2 linked regions of the Caenorhabditis elegans genome follow. The protein of the gene in region 2 purifies or fractionates together with the protein of the main gene of each other region. This does not show direct contact. Each region holds a gene or a part of one and is shown on either strand. Other genes may lie near its edges.

Region 1 (7,827 bases), on a different chromosome or scaffold from region 2:
TTGAACTTAAGTTTATTGGCTTTTCGAAGGTTTTTTCCAAAAAAATTGATTTTTACGGAAAATTTATCGATTTTTTCGTAAATTTATTGATTTTTTGACGATTTTTTGATTGTTTTTCCAATTTTTTACGGAAAATTATCATTTTTAGTTCAAAATTTCAATTTATTTTTTTCTCAAAAATTGAAAATTACCTCCTCCCCGAGACGTGGATTCTCCTGGCTCTCCAATTCGTACGTCTTTGCTCATTTTTTTTTTCGATAGAATTCTGGAAAAAAACGGATATTTTAGTAAAATTGTATTTTTTTTCAAATTTCTGGGAACAATTTCAAAAATTTCATCAATTTTGATGGTTTTTTTTCGAATTTTTTTGGGAAATATCGGTGAAATGTAGATTTACGCAGCTCGTGTACTCCCCGAGGAGAAGATTTTCCTTTTTTTTCAAAATACGTGGTTTTACACTTTTTAAAATTATTTTTTGTTTCGTTTAGTGGTTTAAGTGAAAAATAGCAAATAACTGCAAGATCTTCTCCACGGGGAGTACACGAGTCTTGTAAATCGACACATGGCCGTGGAAGAGGTTTTACACGGCCAGCTCTTCCATATATTCAAATAGTAGTTTTTAAAAAGAAATAAGTCATTTTCTGAATATTAAATCGTCTCTAAACCCAAAAAATACACAAAAAATCTTTAAAAATTCCCAGATATTGTATTTATATAGACAAAAAAAAAACAGAAAAAGTTTCAAAAACTAAACCACACATAAAAATATTTCTAAACAATCACAAAAACCGACGGGGAGGGGGGGTTCGGGGTAAAATAATTGAAAAAACCCAATTAAAAAAAAATATTATAGCGATTTTGGTAGAGAGAAAAGAAGGGAAAAATTGAAAAACCGTAGCAAAAACGAGAGAGAGAAAGCGTGCTCTATTGCACTTTAGATGTGGGTGGGAGGAGATGGGGAATAAATAAATAAAATATGAAATTTAATTTATTTCTAGGGATTTTGCTTCAAAAAATTGAAAAAAAAACAAAAAATGAAAAATTCAACTGCGACCAATCAGCGATTCGCTCCGCCCACTTTTGGACCAATCAGCGAAATTGCTCGGTTTTTTTCAGCTTTTTAGACTATTTTTCAACTTTTTGAATTAAAAATCCCAAGAAATTAGTGCTCATTGAGCAGTCGCCGTGGCCGAGCTCTCCGATGAATTTCCCTCGAGCAACGGGGAGGATTTTTGAATTTCCAGCATTTTATTGATTGATTTCAGCCGCATTTTCAACTGTTTCTTCGTTTCCCGAATCGAAATCGACGGTGGTGGTGGTGGAAATTCCTCCGGCTCATTTTCTGGTGGCGGTGGAGGTGGTGGTGGTGGAGCAGCTTCTTCGGATTCCAGAAGCTCATCGACTTGCTGAGCTGGCTCCGGTGATGCGGAGCGCGATGAAGCTGGATTTGGGCTCACTGGAGCTGCAGCTTTTTGAGCAATTGGCTCCGCTGGCTCATCCTCATCGGAGCTGATTTTCTCTTGCTCCGTTGGAAGTTTTTGGCGGTAGCGAGATGGAAGTTTGGAGCTGGAGGAATCTGGAAAAAAATTAATTTTTGAATAATTTTGGCGATTTTTTCTGATTTTTTCAAAGAAAATCACTATTTTTTCGTTTTTTTTTTATATTTTTTGACGTTTTTTCGAAAAAAAATTTTTTTTGGAAAAAATTAAATGTTCTAATTTTTCTGATATATTTATGCGATTTTTTTTTTGATTTTTTGGAATTTTTTTGGGAAATTTTCCAATGAATTTCTGCAATTTTTCTTCAAATTTTCAATTTTTGCCGAGAAAAATGTTCGAAAAATCTTCGTGTTGGTTTTTAATAGAAAATCAATAGAAAAATCTAATTTTTGTATTGAAAAAGCCAAAATTTGCGAAATCTTCTCCTCGAGGAGTACACGAGAGCCACGTAAATCGACACATGGCAATTCGGTGTTTTTCGGAAATTTTAGGGCAAATTTGTGGTGAAAATGAATAGAAATTCATCAAATTTCAGCATTTTTTAGCAAATTTTTTGCATTCTAATAGATTCTATAGTTTTGGGGTGGTTTTTTTCCAGGAAAAACCAAAATTTTATCGATTTCTCGATGGATTTTTTCAAACTTCTAGAAAAAATAATCAATTTTCAATGGAATTTCTCTTTTTTGACGTAAATACCATAGTTTTTCGGATTTTTTTTCGGAATTTTTTAAAACTCAAATTTTGCGATTTTTTAGTGTCAAATTGAGTTAATTGAGTTAATTTCATCGATTTTTGATCTTTTTTTTTTCAAATTTCGGGTGAAAATATCAAATTTTAAAGGCTTATTTCCGTTAAAATCGACATATTTTATAGTTTCTGGCGGTTTTTTTTTTAAACAAATGTTTCCATTTTTTCGCTAAAAATCCCCAAAATTTTCATCCAAATAAAGCAGCACCTGAGCTATCCGAATGACTAGATCGACTCCTGCTTCTGCTCGACGAGCTCGACGAGCTACTTCTCGACGTGATGCTCTCCTTAGAAGGCGATCGGCGGTTCCGTTTGATCTTCGAGATCCTTTTTCCTCGCCGAGAGTCAAATGTCGATGCACTATCATCACTATCACCACTAATATTCTGAGGTCCACCAGCAGTGTCTCCACGTCGAAGCTTCTGCTTCTGATCATCCTTCCGACGTTTCGCCGATGGAACCATCGGTGGGGTCTCCGATCTTTGACGAGATCGTTTGATTTGAGATCTTGAGCTGCTACTTGCTCCATTCTTGCTGAAAAACGAAGAATTCTGAGAATCCCTGCCGGAAGAGCTTCGTTTCGGGATCCGATAAGCATGAATATCTCCTGTAACCACACTATCCTGCCGTTTTTTCTTCTGCTGGAACATTTTTTTATCGTGTCCCGGTGGATATGGTGGAGGTGAACGGCTTCGGGATCTTCGTGATGGTGACGATGGAGTCTTCCGCTTCATGTGCTGCTGCTGACGGGATCGTTTCGATGAGCTTCCACGATCTGAGGATGTTGAATAGGTTCGGGAACGAGATCGGTGACTTCGGCGACGAGCTCGGCGCCGTCTGCTAGAAGATCCGGCGTCAGATGAGTCGGTGGAGATGTCACGGGCTCCAGGGATTGTGGCTCTGAAAGTAGAATTTTTTTTGGTTTTTTTATCGATTTTTTTTCCAATTTACTGATTTCTCGCAACTTTTTGGAATTTTTTTTGCAATTTTTCCGATTTTTAGAATTTTTTTCCATTTTTTTGCAAATTTTTTCCGGTTTTTTGAAATTTTGTTTTAAAGTTTTCTGATTTTTGGCAATTTTTTACCGATTTTTTAGCCATTTGTGCAATTTTTTCTGATTTTTGAAAATTTTCGTCAATTTTTCCAATTTTTTTGCAACTTTCTCCGAATTTTTGGGAAAAAATTGTAATTTTAACCATTTTTAGTTGCGTTAAATTTCCAATCCGCATGTGCCGCACGAAAAAAGGGGCGTGGTTTCGATTTGCAAGGCTGCGGCACTGTTTTTAGTTTAATAGAAATTAGTTTAAAGAAAAAAAAAAAAAAAAAAAAATTTTAGTTTAAAGAAAAAAACGAATAAATCCTTGAAAAATCTGAAAATAAAAAGCCGCGCCGCAGACTTGCAAAACGAAACCCCGCCCCTTTTTTCGTGCCGCACTTGCGAATTTTTAATTGAAAAACAATGGAAAAACACATTATTTTGCCGAAAAAAACCAAATTTTTGCGCCAAATTTGCGATTTTTGTTGAAAATGAAGAAAAAAACACATTTTTAGACGATTTTCCCATAAAAACAGTCTTTTTACGCACTCAGAAGTGGACGAAGACACCGAAGACGACCGTTTCGCCTTTTTCAGTGTAATTTTCCGCTCTCTCGGCGGTCGTTTCTGCATTGCTTCCTCATCTGTATCACTGGATATCTCGTGAGCATCGAATTTCGACGGCGAATAGCTAATTCCACGTGCAGGCGGTGATTTTGACGAATTTCGGCGGGTAATTTGTGGTGGCGCCTGGCGCTGACTAATGGTCCTGCCACGAAACATTGGAGCATCGCGAGCCGGTGCCGATGGCGCGGAGTCACGTTTAAATCGATTTTGTGATGATGATGGATTTGGCGGCGCGCGATTCGGGTAGATCACTTGTGGGCCGAGATCTGAAAAAATTTGAATTTTTAGGTAGAAAATTGCATTTTTAGAGGTGAATGGCCAAAAAATGGACCGAAAAACCTCGTTTTATTTTCAAATTTCGCGTAAAATTAAACCTTTCATTTGTGGTTTGTGGGTCCGGATGTCCAAAAGCGATGGGATCGCCCGTTTGTCTGGATCCGTAGGTGACGTGGATCCTCGATCAGCTTCTGCGTCTGAAATTGGAGCATTTTTAAGCTTTAAAACACTGAAAAATGGTCTAAAAACATGAAAATTAGCTAAACGTCGGCAGTTTTTCGCCTATTTTGTAGATTTTCAGCAGGAAAACTGAAAAAAATTTAATGAAAAGTGGTAAAATTGGAGATTTTCTATGAAATTAGTGACTTTTATTGAAAAATCGCTAGTATTATCGGTTTTGAGGGAAATTTTGAGTTTTTTTTGAGTTTTTTCCAGTTTTCCCGAGATTTTTTGTATTTTTTGCCGAATTTTTTACTTCCAAAAATCAAAAATTGCTCTGAAATTCACTGAAAAACTGCAAATTTCAGTGTTTTTCTTCGAAATTTGCGGATTTTTCTGTTTTTTGGACTGAAAAATTCGGATTTTCAGCTGAAAAATCAATTTTTACCAACCTTCGCGACCATTAACAGCTCTTTTTGCTGCTAAAAGTGCAGCTTCCCATGAAACTGTTCCAGGATCTTCGCGACGTGGCACATATGGATGATTCCGGATTGGTGGAAGTTGTCGACCCATTGGACGGGAAATTCGGTTCTGAAAATTGAGAATTTGAGGGTTGAAAGCAGAAAATTCACACAAAATATGATTAAAAACGTTAAAAATCATGCTTAAAATGCATCAAAAAGCTCAAAAATTTCACAAAAATCAATAAAATCGCTGAAAATTAGGCTTTGAGACAGAAAAAGCCAATAAAATTGACTAAAATGAGCGACAAAAGAAAGCTAAAAATTGGGAAAATTGGAGTTTTGCAGTAAAAATAGGTAATTTTATCGGAAAAATGATAAAAATCGGATAAAATTCACAATTATGCAGTTTTCCATCGCTTTTCACATAATTTTTACTATTTTTTGCCCATTTTGACCGATTTTTCCCTGATTTAAGGGCATTTTGTGCACATTTCGACTAAAATTGAGCCAAAATGAGCGAAAAATCGTAGAAATCCAGTAAAAAATGATTTCTAACCGCTATGACAAGAAAAATTGAAGGTTTTATCCGAAATTTGCGGTTTAATCGATAAAACTACTCCAAAAATTGCATTTTTACTGAAAATGGGGCTTTTCAAACGTATTTCACTGTGAAAATTGATCTTTGTGGGTTATTTTATGGGAAAATTAATTTAAAAATAGCGAAATTCGGGTTTCCACCTGCCGGTGTCCGATTTTTTGCGCTTTTTTTTTGTGAAAAAAGAGCAAAAATGTGCCAAATTGCACGAAACAACGAATAAAAATCGATTTCTGACACGAAAAATTGCAATTTTTAGCTTTTTTCAGGCTACTTTCAGGATTCCATGCAAAACGAGACGGACAACATCGACTCACATCATTCATACTCGAACCAACCTCTATGGGCCTTCTAGCGGACCCAGCTGGAGCCGTAATAGGCGCTGAAATTCATGGAAATTACTTTAAAGCCATTATTTTAATAAAAAAAAAATTCAATTTCTACCTCGTTTTTGCGGCTCATCATCCTTAATTTCGCCGTCATCACTGTCCTCGAGCTCGCCGTCTTCAAGTTCTCCGTCTTCTTTCTCTTCTTCATCTTCTTTATCCGATTTCTCAGCTTTTTCCTCAATTTCTCCGTCTTCCGAAGCTTCTTCCTTCTCTTCACCTTCTTCTCCGTCCTCTGGATCCTCGTTATAGTCCAGAGCTTCGGCTTCTGCCTCCGGAGAGCCTGACTTCACTACTTCATCGTCTTCTTCTTCTTCTTCTAGATTATCTGAAATTGAGCATTTTACTTTAATTTTGCATTTTTTGTTTTTTAATTTTATATAATTTTTTGGGGTAAAATGACTCAAAAATTACGAAAAAACGGCTAAAAATCGTCTAAAACTCACCAACTTCGGCGATTCGTTCCAAAAGTGAATCCTCGTCGTCCATACCTTAAAATACGAAAAATCAATAATTTTCGAATTATTTAAAGCCAAAATTTGTCTGCTGGGAAGATTTACACAGGATTCAATTCGAACTCAACCTTTGAATTATGCTCAAGAAGAACTGGAAAAAAGTGTGAGAAGAAGTGAGTGAGATTTGGTGGGAAATAGGCATTTTTGCGAATTCGGGGGGCCAAGGGGACAAAATATCAATAATTATATGGATAAATAATCGAATTTCGAATCGATTTTCATCGGTAATTTGCAGATTTATTCGTGAATTCGGGCAATTCGTCCAGAGAACGCCGCGTTTTGTTGTGTGTGAGTGAGAGAGTGAGAGTGATGCCAGCGACGTGGCAAATGGTGAGAGACGCAGAGAGATGGAGAGAGTGAGATCGATGATGTACGCAAACACCGCAGGGGACGCAGGCGCGATATTTGACGGGCAATGTTTATTGTTTTTAATAGAAATAATTATTTCTATTATTTTGGAAGGTGAATTAATGAATTTATAAGAAGATTTTGTAATTTTTCAAAAAATTGGGTTAGAAACTACGAAAAGTCAACGAAAATGTTCAAAGTGTGTAGAAAAACATGTAAAATTGGAGATTTTCATTTTAAAAATTCGATAAAGCTTTGAAAACCGAGTTTTTAGGTTCAAAATTAACAAAAATTGAGCACATATTTACTGAAAATGCACCTAAATCAGCGAAAATAGACAAAATAGATGGACATTGAATAACAATCAATTTCTGGCAGGAAAAGGTGACAAAACTGAGATTTCTAGCTAATTTTTGCACTGTCAAAATTTTATCCGAATTTTAATAGATTTAACAATAAGGAATTGCATAATTTAGAGGCATTCTAAGTCGATTTCAGTGTAAAAATTTCTACTTCATATCTAATTTTCCCTAAAATTGTGAAAAATTAAAAAAAAACCTATAAAAATTAACTAAAAACTGTGGAAACTGACCATCGCCGAGGGAACACGGAACACTTTTCCCTTTCACTAGCTGCACATATCGGGGCCGAAAAACATACAAACAAAATACGCGCGCGCCGCGATTTGTTCACTGTAGGAGGTGGAAAAGAAAACGACGAAATAGTGCAGCCCATCTTAACTTTTTATTGGATCTTTTCACATATTTATGGTCACATAAAAAGAGTTACCATGGGTGCAAACTTTTGAAAATTTTGGTATTTCTGCTTGAGAAACTGAGCTGGAAAACTGAAATCTCGAAATTTCTAAAATCTGCAACAATATAGGCTTCCCTGGAGCCCTAATTTTTGTAAAACGAGGAAAATAAGATACTTTATTGAATTCTATTAGCACCGAAGAGATCTAGTCCACCACTGATTTTCTCTGTCCGCCTGCGCCTCGTATTCTCTCCTCTCTCTGGCATTCGTTGGCTCCAGCAGAACTACAGTTTCATCGCTGAAAACTGCTCTTGGGGTGCAGAAGATTTCAGAGACAAAGCTTGGCTCATCGCAGTTGGCTTTGTGTTGTTGCTCGGCGAGCACTTGCTCCTTAGGCTTCAGGACGAGCTCCTTCTCGAG
Region 2 (3,829 bases):
TAAGATTTGTGAAAGAAAATGGCTTGGAAAGCGAAAAAGAATACCCTTACTCCGCTTTAAAACACGACCAGTGCTTTTTGAAAGAAAATGACACTCGGGTGTTCATTGATGATTTCCGGATGTTATCAAATAATGAAGAAGATATCGCAAATTGGGTTGGAACTAAAGGACCCGTCACTTTTGGTAATGAATGCCTTATTAAATCATTAAAATATACAACATCTTTTTGTTTTCAGGAATGAATGTCGTCAAAGCAATGTACAGTTATCGTTCTGGAATTTTTAATCCATCTGTTGAAGACTGTACGGAAAAGTCAATGGGAGCTCATGCTCTCACAATTATTGGATACGGCGGAGAAGGAGAATCAGCCTACTGGATTGTTAAAAATTCATGGGGAACTTCATGGGGCGCAAGCGGGTTAGTGATTTTTGTTTCGGAAATTCATCAGTTATTCGTTCTCAGGTACTTCCGTCTGGCGAGAGGAGTGAACAGCTGCGGTCTTGCAAATACCGTTGTTGCTCCAATAATAAACTGAAAACTCATTTACTTAAGTGTTTCGTCGAATAAAAAATCCCAGTTTCCCGAACACTTCCATCTAGAGTCCTCAAACATGTTTTGGAATTCAGAAAAAAAACACGTCGTTCAAAAAAGTTAATTTACTTTTCAATAGATACCCGATGTGTTATATCAAACAATCCGCAAAGGAGCACAAAATGTTAATGCAATAAATAATTAAAAAATATGCCGCGATGATCTTTTAACAAGGATTTAGAAATGAATGCAGAAGACAAGGATGATGATGGCGTTGCGGAAGTGCTTGAATTTGGCAGAGCTGTTGTCGTAGTCATCGTCCGAACTGAAAAATTAATGGTTCATTTGATCTAAAAACGTTCATTCCGTTTACCTATTGTAAGCATCATCATCATCTCTGTCTTTGTCCATCGAACGTCCCCTTTTGCTGTTTTTGTTAGACTTTTTGCCAAAGTCCACATCTTCGCCATTCTCAAGCTCCTCGCTGTTGAACGGACGTTTTCTTTTCTTCGATGGCATATCATCCTCGTATTGATCGTAATCCTCTTCTTGCTCGTCGCTGAGAACTCGGGTGTGGCGCCCTTTCTTATGTTCACGACGCTTTTTGGGATGCGATTCCTTCTCTTCAACTTCAGAATATTCATCATCGTCTTGATCTTCTTCCTCCCGCTCAAACTTCTTGATTGGGCGGCGACGATTAGACATTGCCGAAAAGAGTTTTTCCTCAAATTCCTCAATTGTGAATCTGTTTTTTTCATTGAGAATTGCCTCCATATCAGTAGATTCAGAATCATGATCAGAAAGTCTCTGGACCTTCCCAAGCAGATCCGTAGCCAACTTTTCCTCATCTTCAGATAAGGCTTCGTCTTGTCGGCCAATGGTTGCTGCAATGGGGTGGAAGAAGACACTGTCCGTGCTGATGGGTTCGAGCTTGTACGTCGTTGGAATGTTGCTCTCATTCGCGAATAATCCTTCAGAAACCACAAAATTCGACTGCATTCTGAAGTTGGAAGGAATTTCCTTTCCAACAAACGAGCAAATGAATGTATTGGTGTCCATCTGAGCTACGTATTGAGCCATGTTCTGAAAATAATTAAATAAACATCGGTGAACCATCATACAGAAACTTAAAATACCTGCTCAGTGATTGTTATGATCTCGCCTTGAGAAGAAATTCCACGAAGACGTTTGCGCTCATGAGGAATGCAGATCAGGTACTCGGTAGGGGCATTCTGATTAGAGTTATAGGCAAGAGCGACGTATCCATCAGGGGCAGTGAAGTTTTGCAGGTGAACATCCAAAGTGCCATCATCCTCAAAGCGAAGGAGCACGTGGCAATCAATACCCGGCTGGCAATTGACCGGAGATCCGTAGCACGAGTTCTTTTTAGAACAATCAGACAAACTAATTCCAGACGCCAGTGGGACTATAAAGACAACGAGCCACAAAGGAGACATTACCTGAAATTGAAGAAATGAGTTAAGAAAAAAGAGTTAGAGAGAGGAATGAAACAATGAAATGGCAAGTAAGGACTGATGAGTTCTCGAATGGTCGGAACCATTGCGCGCGCACACACCTGCGCGGCCCTTACGAGGCAAGAGAGAGAGAGAGAGAGAGAGAGAGAGAGAGAGAGAGAGAGAGAGAGAGAGAGAGAGAGAGAGAGAGTGTGTGAACTGAAGAGGGAATGAAGAAAGAGTGTGGGGACACGCGATACACAGATATGCTAAGAGTTGTTGTTTTTTTGTTGTGAAAAGAGAAAAAAGATGCGCTCATGTCTGTAGATCAAAAAAAATGCGATAGAGCAGGTTTGCTTTTATAATTACCAAAATTGATTACTGACCAAAAACGGAATATAAATACAAAAGAGTAGGAGTTCAAAAATCTGTTTCATGTTATAAATAAAATTTGTATTCTATTCAGTTTTTAAATTTTAATACCGAAAAAAACAAAATTCAGCGGGTAAAGTTGAATATATTCCTGTTTTTTATTTCCATAGCTGAAAAACCAAATTCACCATTGTACTCGTAGCACTGGAGAAATGATTTGTATTGAGAATGTTTGGTCCGTGAATTTCTCAATTTTATATTTATCACAGCATTAGGGAAACAGTTATGATGTTTGCTAATGTTCAGCCGAACCTTTTTATTGCGGTTTCCACTCAAACAAAGGTGAGCAGCATACAAATGAGTTGATTAAATTGAACCTAGACGATGAGCCGAAAATAATATATCAATAATGAAACGTTAGATTTTTGGATGTTACCAGTTTCTCACTATTGAGACCGGAACAAGCAAATAAAGAAATTCGAGTGAAGAGCGTTTGTGAAACTTTAGACGTCCCAAAGAAAATACTCATATTTGAAAGTTTACTTTACAATGGAACCAATCCAGATTCTTTTATAATATGAAAGGCAGTATACGTGAAAAATTCCGGTAGTTTAAATGTCTGTGGAGGGAGTCTGTGAAAGATAATCAGTAGTAACATTAGTTTTTCAGAGTGTTTTTTTATTAATGTGTATCTTGAAACTGCAACAAATGATATACGAAATCAATAGAAAAACATCGGGATTATACTCTTTCTTGTAGTCGTTCCTGAGGTGGATGTGCATTTTCCTCAAGGTCGTCTTCGACTTGACCGTTTTGATAACCTCCATTGACATGGTTATGGACTTGATGTTCTTGTGGAGGTGCTCCATCGGCATTGCCACGGGCCTGATCGTTGCTTTCGTTGAGGTGATAGATATCGAAAACTTGCATGCGTCGTTTGTTTTTTCGAAAGGCATAAATGATGAGAATGACCGCAAAGAGCCAACCACTTGGAGCTAGACAGATGAGCCACAAACGACTATCCTGCATGCTGGTCCTCGGATACTCGGTAGTGAGGTTTGTGGACATCAAAATATCCGACATGTCTCTGAAAAACAAATTAAAGTCTTAAATGATATTCTGACCAGGGGTGCGCGGCAATTGTACAAAATGAGACGGTTGGGCATGTTCCCCCGATATTTTTTATTAAAGTTTAATAATAGATTATATAAAATTATTTTCTCCATCTGGAAATAATTTTTATTAGACTTGGAAAAACCGAGAAAGTGTTTTAAGATTGTCTGAATATTGAAAATTGCCGGTGAAAATTGTCGAAAAATTGGCGGCAATTTTCACCGGCAATTTTCAATTTTCGGACAATTTTTTAGCACTTTCTCGGTATTTATAAGCCAATAAAAGTTATTTTCAAATAAAGCAAATACTTTTCTATATTGTATCATTATATAATATTTTAATGAAAAATATCGGGGGAA

What was found.
Region 1: the proteins of R09F10.8 (region 2) and C15C6.3 fractionate together in Caenorhabditis elegans (co-fractionation; one large-scale study listed by BioGRID). This does not show direct contact.

The regions. Positions count from the first base shown.
Region 1 is NC_003279.8:12,205,549-12,213,375, reverse strand, and holds C15C6.3 (YTH domain-containing protein), read right to left. Parts: upstream 6,280-7,827; 5' UTR 6,278-6,279; coding exon 6,235-6,277; intron 6,117-6,234; coding exon 5,847-6,116; intron 5,785-5,846; coding exon 5,720-5,784; intron 4,935-5,719; coding exon 4,796-4,934; intron 4,382-4,795; coding exon 4,283-4,381; intron 4,175-4,282; coding exon 3,790-4,174; intron 3,147-3,789; coding exon 2,455-3,146; intron 1,577-2,454; coding exon 1,170-1,576; 3' UTR 687-1,169; downstream 1-686. Other genes in the region: popl-4 (Ribonuclease P protein subunit p29), read right to left, coding at 192-246; C15C6.2 (DUF7778 domain-containing protein), read right to left, coding at 7,597-7,827.
Region 2 is NC_003284.9:8,324,461-8,328,289, forward strand, and holds R09F10.8 (DOMON domain-containing protein), read right to left. Parts: upstream 1,992-3,829; 5' UTR 1,989-1,991; coding exon 1,668-1,988; intron 1,615-1,667; coding exon 905-1,614; intron 857-904; coding exon 769-856; 3' UTR 647-768; downstream 1-646. Other genes in the region: R09F10.1 (Papain family cysteine protease), read left to right, coding at 5-183, 237-417, 463-535; F55E10.4 (Cubilin), read right to left, coding at 3,099-3,440.